Caenorhabditis elegans: one gene and its partners. The protein of the gene in region 1 interacts with the protein of each later gene in a pairwise test. Each region holds a gene or a part of one and is shown on either strand. Other genes may lie near its edges.

What was found. The genes of interacting proteins can lie anywhere in the genome.
Region 2: the proteins of lag-1 (region 1) and glp-1 interact in a two-hybrid assay, tested with the Caenorhabditis elegans proteins (4 studies listed by BioGRID).
Region 3: the proteins of lag-1 (region 1) and csn-5 interact in a two-hybrid assay, tested with the Caenorhabditis elegans proteins (3 studies listed by BioGRID).

Annotation. Positions count from the first base shown.
Region 1 is NC_003282.8:6,099,786-6,104,962, forward strand, and holds the start of lag-1 (Suppressor of hairless protein homolog), read left to right. Parts: upstream 1-1,802; intron 1,803-2,931; coding exon of another isoform or gene 2,932-2,997; intron 2,998-3,052; coding exon of another isoform or gene 3,053-3,191; 5' UTR 3,192-4,551; coding exon 4,552-5,177. UniProt on the Caenorhabditis elegans protein: Transcriptional regulator that plays a central role in lin-12/Notch and glp-1/Notch signaling pathways, involved in cell-cell communication that regulate a broad spectrum of cell-fate determinations.
Region 2 is NC_003281.10:9,090,393-9,098,533, forward strand, and holds the start of glp-1 (glp-1/Notch intracellular domain), read left to right. Parts: upstream 1-1,848; 5' UTR 1,849-1,920; coding exon 1,921-2,060; intron 2,061-2,920; coding exon 2,921-3,036; intron 3,037-3,676; coding exon 3,677-3,739; intron 3,740-4,258; coding exon 4,259-5,167; intron 5,168-5,467; coding exon 5,468-5,708; intron 5,709-6,013; coding exon 6,014-6,749; intron 6,750-7,156; coding exon 7,157-7,629; intron 7,630-7,679; coding exon 7,680-8,141. UniProt on the Caenorhabditis elegans protein: Essential signaling protein which has a major role in germline and embryonic development; involved in cell fate decisions that require cell-cell interactions. Probable membrane-bound receptor for putative ligands lag-2 and apx-1.
Region 3 is NC_003282.8:5,647,416-5,651,872, forward strand, and holds csn-5 (COP9 signalosome complex subunit 5), read left to right. Parts: upstream 1-2,117; 5' UTR 2,118-2,120; coding exon 2,121-2,186; intron 2,187-2,236; coding exon 2,237-2,490; intron 2,491-2,538; coding exon 2,539-2,921; intron 2,922-3,167; coding exon 3,168-3,571; 3' UTR 3,572-3,664; downstream 3,665-4,457. Other genes in the region: skn-1 (Protein skinhead-1), read right to left, coding at 4,349-4,425. UniProt on the Caenorhabditis elegans protein: Probable protease subunit of the COP9 signalosome complex (CSN), a complex involved in various cellular and developmental processes.

The DNA of each region.
Region 1 (5,177 bases):
CAATTTTTTTTAATGTGCTGAACAATTTCGAAATCAAAAAGACCCTACTCTCCAGCTGATTACAATCATCTGATCGATGTCATATTTCTTTTCCCAAAAATAATTTGTCTTGTTTCTCTAATTACTCTTCTCTTATCATCACAATCTCTCACGTTTCTTCTGTCTCACCAATAAAAACGGGGGAATCCCCCTGCAGGTTCAAGTTGATATCATTAGAAACCTGTTTTTCACGCAGTCAATACTCTTTTTTTTCCCTCGATAAATTGATCATTTTCTCGGCTTTGGGCGTGGAAATATTTTCTGCAATAAGATGTGTTGAAAAGTCAGAAAAAAGAAAGTGTTCATCCCGCCCGTTGTCGTAGATCATTTGTTTTATGGCAATTTTCATCATCATTTTGTAACCGTCTTCTTCCTCCTCTTGCGCATCCAATCCACATATCACACAAAAATGTACAATACGAAAAATAGGTCGGTCTCTTCACATTTTCATCACCAAAAAAGTGTTTTTGCAGAGAAAAAAGTGGTGATAAATGTGGAACTTATAACTGTAAACACATTTAAACGAGGGCGGCGAAATTAGATATCAGACATATACGATACAAAAAAAATTAAAAAATCTGTGTGTATTTTGTTTGTAAAAAAATAAAATAATTGCGAGTGCATTTTTTTCAGATTTGAGGATAAATTTTAGAATTCATGGAATTGGAGCATTCGATAGGTCGAAAGGAAAGTATTTTGAGCATTCAATTCGTTATATCAGTTATCCGACTCAAAGCAATTTGTTCTACTTTAGAATTAACGCACTTTTTCGATTCTGAGAAATTTATTCAATTCGAGCTTCTTTCTGTAATCAGATTTTACCGCAATTTTTCAAATCTTTTTTGCTCTTCTTTTCCATATTAGCATTGTTCGTCTCAAAATTTTATTTTTGATTTCGAAGGCTAATTTCTTCTTTCCCAAAAATTCGTACTCATCTATGACCTTTTACAGTATCAAAGAAACATATATGCATTTAAAAATTATTGAAAAAAACTGTTTGAAAATCTCAAAATTTTGTCATTTTCAAACTTAAAACTCGAAGAACATTTGAAAAAAATACAGTATTCGCTTCAAATATAATCGTTTTCATGATCGGATTCTCTCAGAATTTCATCTTCAATCTGAAAATACTAGATTTAAGTGATTCCGTGGATCTTCTATTCTCGTTTCAAAGCTTCACACTCCTGCTTTTTTAGTTGTCCGATCTCTTGTTTCTTACCATATTCCGACATAAAAATCCCGCCGAAACCCATCAAACTTCTTCTTCTCGTATACGAATATAATATGTGTGGGTGCTCCGTTTTGTCGCACAAGTACCGTACCTCTGCTTCCTTACCGATATTCTTTTCTCCGAATCGACGACAAAATTTAATGATCGATTCGGAGGCGGAGGTCGAAGTGGTGGGAATAGAAGTGATAAAACATACGCACACCTCCCGATTTTGTCGATTCTTCGTGTATGTGTCTCCCCGGCAGTTTCATTCTTCTTCCGAGAGCATTATATTCGGAGGTGCTCCCTTTTTGACACGTCCCTCTAATTGTTTAAAAACCTCTTTGGATAATTTCCATGAAGTTTTATTAAAGTTTTAATTTTCAGACTGGGTGAACCCGCACGAAATCTGGATAAGTTTATAGGTAAGTTCGTAATCAATCCATCGAAATTTCAAACAACGTATCATTGAGTTCCAGAAGCAATGTTCCAGTCGGTATCGCCGCTGGCCGGTGTCGCTGCAGCGCCGAGCCAAATTGCCGCACTTCAACAGGTGAGATTTGATTTATTTTGGTAGTAGAAATCATCAGAAAATTCTAAAAATTCGGAAAATATCAAAATTACAGCAATAAATAAAAAATTGAAAGTAAAAATGTCATGTTGCCCAGTTAAAGGGGTATTAAAGTTTACAGTTTTGGTCAAATTAACTAAAACTCGCCCGAAACAACTGAATTTTTTCAATTTTTTCAATTTCATAACGAGACTTTTCAAAAAATTGCCGGTTTTTTTTTTGAGAATTTTCGTTATGAAATTGGTTCGTTTCAGGCCAGCTTTTGTATAGTTCGGCAAAAACTCAAAAAATCTACTCCCCCTTCGAAAAAACTTGACAATAAGTTTCCGATTTTCAAGAAAAAAACGGCGCATGGAGTAGTATTTTTAAAATTAAAACACCTAAAAATGAGAACTGAACTATTCGCTAAAAAGTCGCTGAAACCAGCGGCAAAATATTAAAAATCCCAAATCCCTACGGAAAAATTCAACAATGGGCTCTATTTTGGTCACTTCCAAAAAGTCGAATTTTTTTTTATCATTAGGCCCTTTTTTCCTTCCTTTCATATTATAAGAATATTCATTTTTAGATATGTATTTTGAGTTTTTTGCTTAAATATTCTCAGAAAAAACCGTTTCTCACAAAATTTCTCAAAATCATTTCTAATCGAATCAATCAATTTTCCCAGTCCCCCGAAGCACGAAAAATATTCACAAAAGCCTTTAGTTTTCTCCCATAACATTTCTCGTATTGTCGCTGGGACTCACTTTTCAGATATATAATGTTGAAAATAAACTTGCATCAATATTTCAAGAGAACATTTTCTAAATTTGTATTTCCCAAATAGTTCCTATTTTTGAATTCCTAGTTTTTTATTCATTAAAAAGTTACAAACTGGAAATTTTTCTAAGAATTTTTCAAATTTCAATATTTTGGGCAATTTTAAATTTTATAAACTATAATTATTAGTTATTTGAACTATATTAGAATCTAAAATAATTTAAAATAGACAAAAAAGGCGTACGGAGATGACCTGTAATTTCCCAACGTCTGCATTTATTGATTGTCACCCCATTGTGTTCGAGTTCAAAAATTCGATATTTTTATCAACTTTTGATTTATTTTATTTCAGATACAAGCGTTGATGACATTTCAAATGCAGCAGAATAATTTATTTCCCAAAATTGACACTATATCGGTTAGTTTTCACTAATAAATTCTTATATTTTAAAATGTTATAATATCAATTTCAGAAATCGCCAACTCCAGAACTCGCATCTCCATCGGCAAAACGAATGAGACTTTCTCCCAGTACGAGTAGCCACAGTGATGTCGCATCAACTTCGAAAGGAACAAATGGGCAAGATCAGTCGAAAAATTCGCCGACAAATTGTGAGTTTTGGAAATTTTCAAAATTAAAAAATATGTAAACTTTCAAAATTCATGTTCTAGACCATTTTTTCCCCCCAAAAAAAAGTCGTATCAGATACATTTTTCTGATTTTCCCTTGCAAATGTGTTCTTCCAACTGAAATTTCCCTCAAAATTTTTCCCTTTCCCTTGTTATTTGGGAAACTGAAAACCGCCGAATGGTGAGAGTGTGAGCGCGCGTGTGCTTCTGTTAGCTGCATCGACTGGTGGCTAATTCATAAGCCCACTCTCTTTTCCCGTCGAATTTTCCCACGTCGATCGATAATTTGAGCAGTGCCGACGGCTCAGCTCAGCTCTCCCTAGACTTCTTGTGTGGAGCTCTACGATTTCTTGATTTTCTAATGATTTCTCTCTCGAAGCACGAAAAATTCGAGAATCGCTTGATGGGGAACTTGTTTTCATTATGATTTGGAAATCAACGGAAAACAAAAAGGAAGAGACCGACACAGTTCTGTGAAATAAATATAGAAGTGAATAAAAATATGCATAGTTGTCCATATTCATGTGGGAACTTTTGGTGCTCATCTCTATTTGACAAGAGACCACAAGGAATCGAGTTACGCAGATGGTTCACTTCACACGAATAATGATAGAATGAAATAGATCAAAGACAGAGAGCTATCAAGGAAAAGTACTGTACCTGGTCGACAGGTGCCTGGAGGTACCATCATGCTCTTTGAATTGAGCACACAGTGGACAATGGCCGTAGTGCAATTTAAATGAGGTGTATTAGTCAATAGAGAAGATAGTAAGAAGTTCCCTTTGTAGGTTGACTCGACAGATATGATTTAATTCGGATGTCTCCAAGAATCCAGAAATTCCGATTTTCCATATATCTGAATGTGCACTCTTCCCTATCAGTCATCCCCCGAGAATTTTCCCCAACCAACCAACCCATCGATTTTCACACGAAGATTCACACTCATGAATCACTTGAGATCCTCTTGTCTTATCGTTATCCCATAACTTTCTTGACTCTTCTCGTGTGATGAGAGGCACCACCACCACGACGGAACGCAACAAAGAGATCACCTGTGTATACACATGGTACATCGGGAAGGCAACAAGTGAGGATTAAGATTTAATGTAAATGAGTGAAAGTGAATGAAAGCGACCGTTACTATATTAGGATGGTTCAATTTTGAACGTCTTTGTTTCCAGATGCCACTCAATTAGCGTTCACCTATTCAGTCATGAAATATCCGAAGAGCTCAACGCTCTCTCTCTCTGATTGGATACTCTGACTCCGCCCATCTACCAGTTTGTCTTTCTGTGTGCTTTTCCATCAGAAAAAGCTATAGACTATATGAAGAAGAGAAAGAATGTTTTCGTGGAGGCGTGGCGATTGTGAGTCGCAGAAGGAAGAAAACCGAAGTGAGGAAAGGAAAGGAGAGGAGACTATTCGTTTTCCCACCCGCTCTCCTTTTCATTGTGTGCTCTTCTTGCTGACAGACGGCTTCGTTCTTCACAAACCCACAGCCAGCCCCACCGTCGGTTTTTCCCCCACAATATTCAGCTTCTACTATTCTCGGTGGGAATCTTCGCATCGGATATCCCACGACGAGAGCGGCTTCTGCACCGCGAAGACCCCCCTTCAAGACTCGACTTTCACGCGCCACCCATCCACATCGGTCCCATCGTCGCCCTCAACGCCAAGACACTCCGGGATGGATTATCATCAGTCGTCTTCGGTAGCTTCTTCCGAGTCGACAGCGTCTACAGTAGCCGCGGCGGCGGCTGCTGCAGCTGCTGCATCACTCAATCAGCATCATCATCCACATCTATATTGTGATGATGGACTTCTATCGAGAAGTTTAACTGATATGGTATCATCTGGTGGATATGATAGCTCATCATCTTCTCTAAGTGCAGCTGCATCAATGTGTTATCCGACTCCTGATGCATATTACTATCATGCTCCACCACCACCACCTCCTCCACAAGCACA
Region 2 (8,141 bases), on another chromosome or scaffold:
AAAACTTAAGAATTTGAAAATATCCACAACTGCTTAAAAATTCAATTAAAGTTGTAAAATTAATCCTAACTCCTTGTGCTGTACAAAACCCATTTTATGGAAACATTCAGAATCCCCAATACTTTTTCTCTTTTCTCACATGACCTTATAGTTTATCTTCCGAATGCTGAATGTTTTTTCTTCAGTACAAATGTTTTGAATACCTAGGTAACCTCGAGTATGAGAAACAACATTAACAATGTTTTGGGAGAAACATGTAGTTTTGTACGTCCGGTCCAGTGAGAGTTTTCAACTTATTTTGGAAGAAATTTTTTTTTGACAAAATTTTGCAATTTCCCACGCAGAAATACGGTATGCCCCGTATCTCGCCACGAACATAATATTTTAAATTGACGGAAAGGTGTGCGCCTTTAAGAAGCACAGTAACCATTTTCCGGTTTTTTTTTTGAAATTGCCTTTGATTTTTACTTTTTTCTCCCAAAAACGAGAAATTTAATATAATCCATCAAAATCTTTGTGAACGAGAGAAATATAGTGAAAAACTCAAAGAAAATTGCGAAATGGATTACTGTACTCCATAAAGGCGCACATCTTTTCGAAAAATCGTGAAAAATTGCATCTGACCAACAGTTTTGCGTGGAATCTTCCTAGATTCAAATTTCCTATGAGTCATAAAACTATCATTTTATCGGACAATAACTACACGTGTACCTTGTTTCCATATGTTCTACCAATATAATTTGTGTTCATATGTGGCCAGGTACGGGAAATTAGAACACGGACTGATTTAGGAAGGTTCAAATTCGAGAACAATGGACGACTTGCTGCACGAAAACGTGGATTATTCTGAAACCGCCTATGTGATCACTATCGATTTAGCACTTCGGTTTTCTTTTTCCGTTTTCCTTTATATTCCGTATTGTATGCCGACAATAACGCTTTTTCTTTGTATAAACATTTCCAGAAGCAGAGCAAATTTGTTTATTCCAGAATTGACTGAATATTGAAATAATGTTTACAGACATACTGTAGATTTTTTTCTATTCAAACATGAATACAGTTTTTCGTATTTTTAATCTTCAGATAAGTTTTGTGTGTGTTTTTGAGAATAATATTTAAAAAAGATAAGCAAATATCAGAACTACGGTAAGCGAAGGGGTACGGTCGTCAATTGCGGACTTCCGAGCTGTGCACGGCGCCAAAATTTATTTTGAGTTTTAAAATGATTTTCTTTGTTTTTTTTTCTTTTTTTGACACGATAAGAACATTTTTCTGTATTTCTAATATTTTAAATGAGATCGTAATAAGTTTATTTAGCTCCATCACATTATTTTCGGAATATTCATCGCTTGAAAACGGCGTAAAATAGGTTCCAAGTAAATCATTGCAAACAAATCTCCGTTTATCGTTCTAACAAAGTTTTTCGTTCACTTTCTTATGTAAATCGTTTTCCCCACTTCTTCTTCACGGGAATGATCAATTGAAAGGCCATAAATTGGTTGTTTTCTCCACATTTCGCAACCAACATGCAGCTGTCGGATAGGCAATAAAATAATGTAATCAATGAGTTTTCCGATTTATCCTAACAGTTCTTTTTCTAGTGTTCCTATTCGAAAAAAGTACTGTTATCCTTCTTTTTGGACCGCCCATCTCAGGTGTCAAGACAATCGCAACACACTCAGAAAATGGGCGGAGTATGCCACCCGGCCTTCATTCGTCGCTCCTTGTCTTCTCCATTTTCGTTTTTTTCCTGTTCTCCGTTCTTTTTTTGTACTTTTGTGATAATGCTGAAGTGTTCTTTTTTTTCGCTTAACCGCATCTCTTGATTTAATTCATATTTTCTTTCAGATTCATGTACAATAACACCAAGAGCTGCTCTAACAACTAATAATAACAGAATCTCGAACAGCGAACACAACAATGCGAGTTCTTCTAATTTTACTCGCGTTTTTTGCGCCAATCGCCAGTCAACTTATGGGTGGAGAATGCGGAAGGGAAGGTGCTTGCTCCGTCAATGGAAAATGCTATAATGGAAAACTGATTGAGACATACTGGTGCCGGTAAGCATATATTTCATTCTCCCATGTCAATGTTATTCATCCGCTTTCTCATGAACCGTGACGAAAAGAACAAAAAAAAGAAAGTTTGGGCAGGTGGTGGTGGTGGGAAACAGGCGATAGATAAACAAAAGCTTGGTGTAGAGAACATTTTGAATAATATCCGAAAGTTGAATTATCACTGTCCATATTTCCCTCTAAGACATCATTAAACGCCACCCGGCTTGCAGAATGGGAACACAATGAACAGCAGGAGGCTGTCACAATGTAAAATCTCGTAAATCGTTCGGGAAATCTAAAAAATTGTTATTTAGTTTTCCCTTTTCTCTACAAACAATTCATTTTTCTTATCAATAACTTTGAGTTCCAAAGGCAAAATTTACAGCCGTTTACAGCCATCTTCCCAGGGTTGTCGGCGAATTTATATGGACGTTCATAAAACAATTGGATTAGCGTGTCGGTTCTTTAATCTTGTCTTTTCTTATTACTATCTAGCTCGTTTGATTAGTTATACAGAGAGTATCAACGTATTTATCGATAGGAAAATTGCGCCATGATGCTCTAAAATACATAAAATCGCTCGATTTATCTGAAAATAACACTTATTTCAGCTTAAAAATGTGAGAAAATGGTCCAAAATTGTCTGAAAGTTGTTGAGTGAATTATCGAGATTTGTTTTCTGATCACTTTCACGAATATATCAGCTGAAAAATTGTTATTTTCAAGTAAATCGATATATTTTGCCACGATTTTTGATTAAAAATACTGTAATTTATTGATTGTCACCCACCACTGGCCCACAGTCATAAATTGTCTCAATTGAATTACTTTTCAGTTTAAAAATAATTTAATCAAATTTACAGTTGCAAAAAAGGATTCGGAGGTGCTTTCTGTGAACGTGAATGCGATTTGGATTGTAAACGAGGCGAGAAGTGCATCTACGATGTTTATGGTGAAAATCCGACGTGTATCTGTCAAGGTAATTTTGTGAATCCTAAAATCTGTTAAATATCATAATATTTTGCCCGAAACGACCTATTTTCATAATGGGACTTCTCAAATCTTTAAATCAAATTATCGCCTTTTTGCATAGTTTGATAAATACTTTATCTCGATTCAAGTGTATTCTAATCAATCATTTTAAGATTTTAAACGTTTCAAATTCAAAATTTTGTTCCATGTTTTACTTCCACCTTTTTCTTCATCTGCCCTTTTTCATAGCGGCAATCTTTTTCACCACATCATCCATCATCACACTGCGAGTGTATTTTTCTTTGATTGTGCCCGACTTGTACGCAATTTTTTGTTTCAGGATATATCAAAATTTCGAAAACTTATTAGGGAAAACACGCGACCATACGTATAATAATTCTCCCGGGAGATCCCAACATTGACAAATTGTACCGCATTCGTGGTATCCTATTTTTCATTTCTACGCTCTCAAAATGACCGCTAGTGATAGATAGCTTCTACTAGGTCATATTCGCACATCTTCATCGCCTTTGTCATGCGATTTATTGCAAATGTTCGGTTTCATTGCGCGGGGGCAGTAGTATAAATCAAGCAGATGTTGTTACACAGACAGCCATGAGAAAATATTTATAAGTTTTATTATTCAGATTGCGAAGACGAGACTCCTCCAACAGAACGTACTCAAAAAGGCTGTGAAGAAGGCTATGGAGGTGAGTAAAGTTTGGATAATGTATGATTACTAATAGTCAATGACTTTGTATCACAATTATTGTTGTTTTGAGCAACAATTGACAGCTATTTTAATTTTTAAAAAGTTGCAAAATTGTTTTTTTTTCAATTTTATATTTTTCGAAAACACAAAGGACCAATGAAATTATCAGATTTTAAAAAATATAGTAAAAAATAAATTAAATATATTTAATTTAATTTAACATATTCTAATAAGAAATGCGCGAGATCCAAGTCTCCCACTGTGATAACTTTTTCCATCTGTTGTCGGAACCGATTTGATCTCAAATAAATCAAAATATTGCGTGTTCTTTTTCTCTATTTTACCGTAATGAGATTGACACCTTTCTCATCTCAAAGGAAATAATCGGCGGTTGGGGGTAATGAGGTGTGAATGGCTATTAGGAAAAACAAACTTCCGCCGGAATTTGAATTTAAATTCCACTTTTTTTAAAAAGAAGACAAAGGCCTATCCGTGATTAATACATTAATATTTTCAGGTCCTGACTGCAAAACTCCTCTATTTTCGGGAGTAAATCCATGCGATTCGGATCCTTGCAACAACGGACTCTGCTATCCATTCTATGGTGGATTTCAGTGCATATGCAACAATGGATATGGAGGATCGTATTGTGAAGAAGGAATCGATCATTGTGCTCAAAATGAATGCGCAGAAGGTTCAACGTGTGTCAATAGTGTATACAACTATTACTGTGATTGCCCAATTGGAAAATCCGGTCGATATTGTGAACGAACTGAATGTGCTTTGATGGGAAACATTTGCAATCATGGAAGATGTATTCCGAACAGAGATGAAGACAAGAACTTCAGATGTGTATGCGACTCGGGATACGAGGGAGAATTTTGCAATAAGGATAAAAACGAATGCCTCATCGAAGAAACGTGTGTTAACAACTCTACATGTTTCAATTTGCACGGTGATTTTACTTGTACCTGTAAACCTGGATACGCTGGAAAGTATTGCGAGGAGGCTATCGACATGTGCAAGGATTACGTTTGCCAAAATGATGGATACTGTGCCCATGACTCGAATCAGATGCCAATTTGTTATTGCGAACAAGGATTCACTGGACAACGATGTGAGATTGAGTGTCCTTCAGGATTCGGGGGAATTCATTGTGATCTTCCACTACAGAGACCACACTGCTCTCGGAGCAATGGAACGTGTTACAACGATGGAAGATGTATAAATGGTTTCTGTGTCTGTGAACCTGATTATATTGGAGATCGATGTGAGATTAATAGGAAAGATTTCAAGTTCCCAGATATTCAGTCATGCAAATACAATCCGTGTGTGAATAATGCGACTTGTATCGATCTCAAAAACAGTGGATATTCATGTCATTGTCCGCTTGGATTCTATGGATTGAACTGCGAGCAACATTTGTGTAAGTTCGAAAATTTTATTTTTATATACGACAAACGCGCCTTTAAAGAGTACTGTAGTTTCAAACGGTGAAATTTTCATCAATTTTTCAGCTTTTTAACATCAAATCTACATAGACTACACAGACTTAAATTTTGAAAAATCAATGGCAATCCCGGAGCAAGGAGAGTTTTTAAACTACAGTACTCTTTAGGAGCGCACATTTTTTCGCATTTAACAAAATTTTTGTCGTGGCGAGACCTGATACCGTATTTTTAGCTCAAGATTACTAGGCAGCATTCTTAATATCAACAAACTTCAGTGTGCACTCCAACTACATGTGCTAACGGAGGTACTTGTGAAGGTGTGAATGGCGTTATCAGATGTAACTGCCCCAACGGATTCTCTGGAGATTACTGCGAAATAAAGGATAGACAGTTATGCTCCAGACATCCATGCAAGAACGGAGGAGTTTGTAAGAATACTGGATATTGCGAATGCCAATATGGATACACTGGACCCACTTGTGAAGAAGTTCTAGTTATCGAGAAATCAAAAGAGACGTTAGTTTTCTTGGATACTATAAAGAATGCAGCCCAGAAAAATAATTTATTGAAGTAAAAAGCGGTTTCAATGAAATAAATACCTAATTTTAGCTCAAATCTCTAATTTTGCCAGCTTCGGTTTGTGTGACACGGGGAAGGTGTTAAATAAAATTTCTTTAGCTAAAATAAGGCTGTCTTTTTCCAAGATTTGAACTGCCATGATTTATTTGGAATTATTTTTTTGAGCCACTTGGAGTATAATGACGATGAAGATAAAATTCCTTCAAAATTTGTATTCAAGGTATTAAATGTGAACATTTCAGTGTCATTCGTGATCTATGCGAGCAACGAAAGTGTATGGATCTTGCTTCCAATGGTATTTGCAACCCGGAATGCAATTTGGAAGAATGTAATTTTGATGGAGGTGATTGCTCAGGAGGGCAAAGACCATTCTCCAAATGTCAATACCCTGCAAGATGTGCTGATCAATTCGCAAATGGAGTCTGTAATCAGGAATGCAATAATGAAGAATGTCTTTACGATGGATTGGACTGTCAATCAGAGTTATTTCGATGCCCAGCTCATATTCGGAAACATTGTATTGAAAGACGAGGCGATGGAGTTTGTAATTTAGAATGCAGTTTCATTGGATGTGGTTTTGACGGTGGAGATTGCAATAACGGAACAGAAGCAATAATCCTCAGTGATATTCGTATAAAAGTTCAAATTGATCCTATTGAATTCCAAGCTACCGGAGGAGAAACACTAATGCAAATCAGTGCAAATCTTCGAGCAACCGTACGTATTCAACGGGATGAACTTGGACCTCTTGTATTCAGATGGGATGGTGAACATGAAATGGAAAGAGTTGAGATGAATAGTAGCAAGCTCGAAGATCAATTTGTACTTTCGCATCACGTTCGCAGGTATCGGCAAGCTGTTGTCACTGGAATTGTCTTGTATTTGGAAGTCGAAGAAATATGTAAACCCGAGTTTTGCCGATTTTCAACAGCGCAAAGTGTCGTTGATTTGATTGCTGCTGGACTTGTGAAGTCTGATGTAAGTTATTTTTATGTGGAGTACGGCACCGGGCTGGAAACAAAATAATTTGGACCGAAATAACAAAAAAAATTAAATTTGTGAAAAATCCAAAAAGGTAGATTTCCGGTTCACTTTTCACTTTTTAGAAGAAAATCATCCGCGTTTTGCTAAAAATATTTGTAAAACATAAAAAAATGTTTGAAGTACAGAAAATTAGTTTTTGAATCCAAAACCAAAAAAACAATTTTTCGTCAAAATATCAAAAAGTCCCAGCACTGGTGGGGCTTAAAATCTATTTTTATGGTGATAAAATGACCAAATATAATTTTTAAAAATTAGAAAAATTTTATAGTATATTTCGAGCCAAAAAGCGGTGAACCTTTAATTGTTTGAGTTATGGAAAATAATAATTAAAACATTTTCAGGGTCGTATGTCTCTGGGTCTCCCAATTACGGAAGCAATGGTAGCTGTTCCAAAGAGAAACGAAATCGATGAAGGATGGTCTCGCAGTCAAGTTATTCTGTTTGCATGTATTGCATTTTTGGCTTTTGGAACTGTTGTCGCTGGTGTTATCGCAAAGAATGGTCCAGAAAGAAGTAGAAAAAGAAAAATGGTGAACGCAACAGTCTGGATGCCTCCGATGGAATCAACGAACGAGAAAGGTCGTCGGAATCAGTCAAATCATTCGAGTCAGTGCTCTCTTCTTGACAATTCTGCCTACTATCACCCCAATACCAAGAGACACTGTAGCGATTATAGTACCGGCTACAATGGAGAACAATATTCACAGATTTATCCACAAACTCTCGCAAATGGATATCCCGGTGATTACAACGAATTGAACTTTGACTTTCAATCTGAGACGTTCGCACCAGCTGATCTACCAGCCGACGAAATGTGAGTGAATCTTTATAGTTTTATTATAATTATTGTTATGTTTCTTTCAGCCCTCTCCATGTTCAAGCTGCAGGACCAGATGCGATTACAGCTCCAATCACAAATGAGTCAGTCAATCAAGTGGATTCAAAGTATAGACGACGAGTTCTGCACTGGCTTGCTGCCAATGTCAGAGGAAAACCGGAAGATGTCATTACAACAGAGGCAATTCGATGCTTGAAGGCTGGAGCCGATGTGAATGCAAGAGATTGTGATGAGAATACTGCTCTGATGCTAGCTGTTCGTGCACACCGTGTCAGACTTTCCGTAGTGCTTCTTCGTGAAGGAGCTAATCCAACAATATTCAATAATTCGGAGCGAAGTGCCCTTCATGAGGCTGTTGTCAACAAGGATCTGCGTATTCTGCGGCATCTTCTCACTGATAAACGTCTTCTCAAAGAAATTGATGAATTGGACCGGAATGGTATGACTGCATTGATGCTAGTAGCACGTGAACTCGGAAAACATCAAGT
Region 3 (4,457 bases), 450 kb from region 1:
GTAGTTTTCCGAAACACTAACCCGGAGTAATTGAGCGTGCAAAGTTTCTCGTTTTCTGTGACAAATCCACTCTTCTTAACATCAATAATTTCAATATTTTCCTTTCTAAAACACGAATTCCAATTGTAATAGGTGTACTGAATTGAAATATATCCACAGCTCCAGTTACAGTAAGATCTGTTATGTTGTGTTGTGGAAGAGATTCTATGAATAAAATTCGAATTTCTGCAAAATTGGTATCTTGAAAAAAGAGCATTGCAATTAATTGTATAAATGATGGAATGTAGATGAGAAATATGAGAACTTGAAGAATACATCGGGAGATCTCTTGATGTTTCATCACATAAAAACGGTATGCAAAAGATAGAAAAATGAGACAAAGAGCATGAGTGTGGAAATGTAGAAGGGCTCCGAATCTGGAAAAAGTTTTTTTGGAGATTTAAAAAATTGGAGTATTCTGTCATTGAAACCTATGCAAGAAAAAAGTTTGATTCAGGCGCATAAGAGAGCCTATAAGTGGGTGGAGACTGTTTTTTTAAACTATCTTTGTTGGGGAAACCTTTTTTTTATTAATTTCGATGGATTTAATTTGCTAAAATATGTGGAAAAATATATACTATAATGGAAAAATATTTCAAACTGCTTTTAGTTAAATTTTTCAAAAACTTTTTGGAACTAATTTTTAATTGATGTCCTAGGCTTCAGCAATCGTAATTTTGGATGTTTACCAAAAATAAATTTTTCTTTGAGTTTTCGAAATTATTAATTAATTTTATAAATTCTAAAATTTCAAACCTGCAGAGATCCATGAAATTTCTCAAAAAGGGAAAAGTTTCGCAAAAAAAATTTGGCAATTTGCCGAAACTCTGACTGAAATTTTTAAACACTCTATACATTTCTTAAGTGTATGTTTAGATTTTAATTTTTTTCATCGATTTAAAGGATTTTTAAAAATTCCTTTTGACAATGATCCATTTTTATTGTTTTTCTATAGTTCAAGACTTAATTTTTTTTAAATTTAGCCCTCTCCCATTTAAAAAATTTTTCATCTTACTAAACCCGTCCAAACCTCGTTTAAATAATGTTAAGATAAATATAAAAATAGGGCAGTAACAATTTGATCTACCTACATATAATTGTTTTTCAAATTTCTTCTGTTTCAAAAACTTCTTGAAACGGGAACATTTTTCCATTGACATTCATTTTTTTTTCCACGTCAAACTCACATATCAAAACAAAACTGTTCTCCTAAATTTGAGCAAATTCCATAGGAAATATAAAATAATTGTTTCCCAGCTGGAATAACTCGTTGTCCAATCAGAAATCCACTAAGACATGCTCCAAAATTAGTGAATGCCATGTTAATAATGACAATTGAGAATGTTCTTATAATAGACGGACTATGAAATATTGCCACGTGGAGGAGGAATAAATTAACACAATATCCTGAAACAGTCACCAACGAGTTGATAATCAGGAAAATTGCGGATAACATTTTTTCTGCGAAATGTTTTCTTGCTCAGCTTGTGGCTTTTATAAAACTTTTTGCTTGCAGTAGCAAGTATTCATGAATATTCTTCTGGAAGATTTAAGGGTCATTGATGAGGTTCAGTATTTTGTAGTATACATTCTAGACTACACCAGATTGATGATATGTTTCTGGAATTGAGCAAAAACCTTTGAACTGGAATGCCAACTTCTCTAAAAGGGATCCACAATGCAACAAGCTGGATAACCAGTCTTTAGGACATTTAAAACTTAAATATCTTATTCCGCCATAATCATTTTTAATACATTTCTCCTATTTATTTGTTCTTCTATGAAATCAAGTCTTCCAATTGTAGTACATCCGCTTGGTGTCGGTTTACGGTAAACAACGCGCACCAACGGAAAGTTGGAGTGTCGTTGTTAGAATAACAACAGATATTTTCTCATTTCAAATTTCAGATTTTTTTTAGTTTTTGTTGGTTTCAATCGATTTAAAAAAATTATAATCTGAGAATTACTTAATTTGTTTCAATTCTTCATGTAAAATCATCTCATTATCATTTTTCATGCCCTTATCGTCTTATTGATTGTATTTCTTAATAATATTAGCAAGGTAATGCTTTTTTCAGACGATGGAAGTTGATAACGTCAAGCCATCCAGCTCAGTTCCGCAGAGAAACTGGGAAAAAGAAAATAACGTCAGTTTTTCTTAAATATTTTTAGATTTTTAATATTATTTGTGTTTCAGGTCCAAAATGTCGATTCGATTTTCGAGTACAACAACAAGCAGCAAGTAGAAATCAGAAATGCAAAACCATGGGATAAAGATCCACATTATTTCAAACAAATCAAAATATCTGCAATTGCTCTTCTGAAAATGACAATGCACGCGAAAAGAGGTGGAAATCTGGAAATTATGGGACTTTTGCAAGGTCGAATCGATGCTAATTCTTTCATTATTCTTGATGTATTCGCTCTTCCAGTTGAGGGTACTGAGACCAGGTGAAATGATTTACGCTGGGAGTAATTTCGAACATTTTAAATTTCCAGAGTCAATGCCCAAGCTCAAGCCTACGAGTACATGACAGTTTATTCTGAAATGTGCGATACGGAAGGTCGAAAGGAGAAAGTCGTCGGATGGTATCATTCTCATCCTGGATATGGATGCTGGCTATCCGGAATCGACGTCTCAACGCAGACACTCAATCAAAAGTTCCAAGAGCCATGGGTTGCTATTGTTATTGATCCATTGAGAACTATGTCTGCCGGAAAGGTTGACATTGGCGCATTCCGTACATATCCAGAAGGATACCGTCCACCAGATGATGTTCCATCAGAGTATCAGTCGATTCCTCTCGCAAAGATTGAGGATTTCGGTGTACATTGCAAACGATACTACTCGCTTGACGTCAGCTTCTTCAAATCACAACTTGGTAGGTGAAATTTATATTTATCGGGAATGAATTACATAATAAAAATACGATAAAGGACAATCAACTGTAAAATCCAATATTCAAAGCTTTGTTTTTTGGATTGTTTAAACTTATTGGAATCGAATAGCTTGAAATTTTAAACTTTTAAAATAAGAATAATAATATTAAACATCTCAACGGGAAATTGGTCTCAATTGAAAAAGAAACATCTCCGATTCTTTCCCGTTTTAATAATTAAAATTCCAGACGCTCACATCTTGACTTCTCTGTGGAACAGCTATTGGATTTCCACTCTCAGCAGTTCTCCACTCTTCTCAAACGTCGAATTCCTCAACAATCAAATTCAAGACATCAATCAGAAGCTGTCGGCCGTCGATAAGAAGCTCCAATTGAATGACAGAAGTGTCGATGGACATGAAGCTTTGATGAAAGTCGTGACCGATGCAAAGGCAGTCGGAGATGAACTTGAAACTGGAAGAATCTCTCATCTCGTGAAACAACTATTGTTTGCTCGCCAAGCTGGTGGTGGCTGTGGATGTTCCCATGCTTCTGCAGGATCTCCAATGGATATCGCCGTGGCAACTGAACCCGAGAAGGCTGGTCCTTCTCCATCTGCTCCGGAGCCCGCTGTTGAGATGGCCGATGCTTAATTCTCGTTTTGTCTATATTTATAAATCAAGTCCCCCTGTTTTCTGTGTTAAATTCACCAACATCATTTTATTTGAATGAAATTTTTGCTTTTCAATGATTGATTTTTTCAAATTTATTTCCATAAATGAGAGATTCAAACGATATATGGACATATATGAAAATGTACAAGAGTAACTGGGAAGGGGAAGTCTGGGGATGGAGGAGGGATACAAGTTCCAAAAATACAAGAAAAAGAATAGATCTGAGAAATTTGAGAAAAATTGAAAATGACAAAAAAGAAGAGGAAATTGATACGATATTACGAGAGATTTGAGGATATAATAGAAATAACTGTAAAGATCATATTTTTCAGGTGTATGGGGGTGAACAGGATGGGGGGGTCGTGTGGTGCACGTATTCTTTCGTCACGAGACCCGTTTCTATCTATTTGTATGATGATTCGGAGATGTAGTCTGAGCTCCGGGCTCAAATGAAAAACTAGGATACTAATGAGAGGCGACAAGGGGATGGGGATCAGATAATAAATTATCAAACTGGGTATGATGAAGAGATGATAAAACTGTTGCAAGATAGGGGTTGCTCACTTTGTGGGGATTGAAGTGGGTGAGGTATTTCACTGGGAAATCAAAGAATCCGAAGGGAGGAAAGAGTAGATCAAAATGAAATGAGACACGGCAAAGAAGAAAAAAACGATTATTGTGGCGGAATTAATTATCTTTAATTATGTGGCTTTAATAAGGTTTCGACCGAGATTTTATGTGATAAAAGAGGGCTTCTCAGATGTAATGGGACATCTTGTCGTGACGATCCGTGCGTCTTTGACGGCAAGTGCGGGCAGCAACCTTGTTCTTTCCTGAAATTACAAAAAAAATCATTTCGATCCTG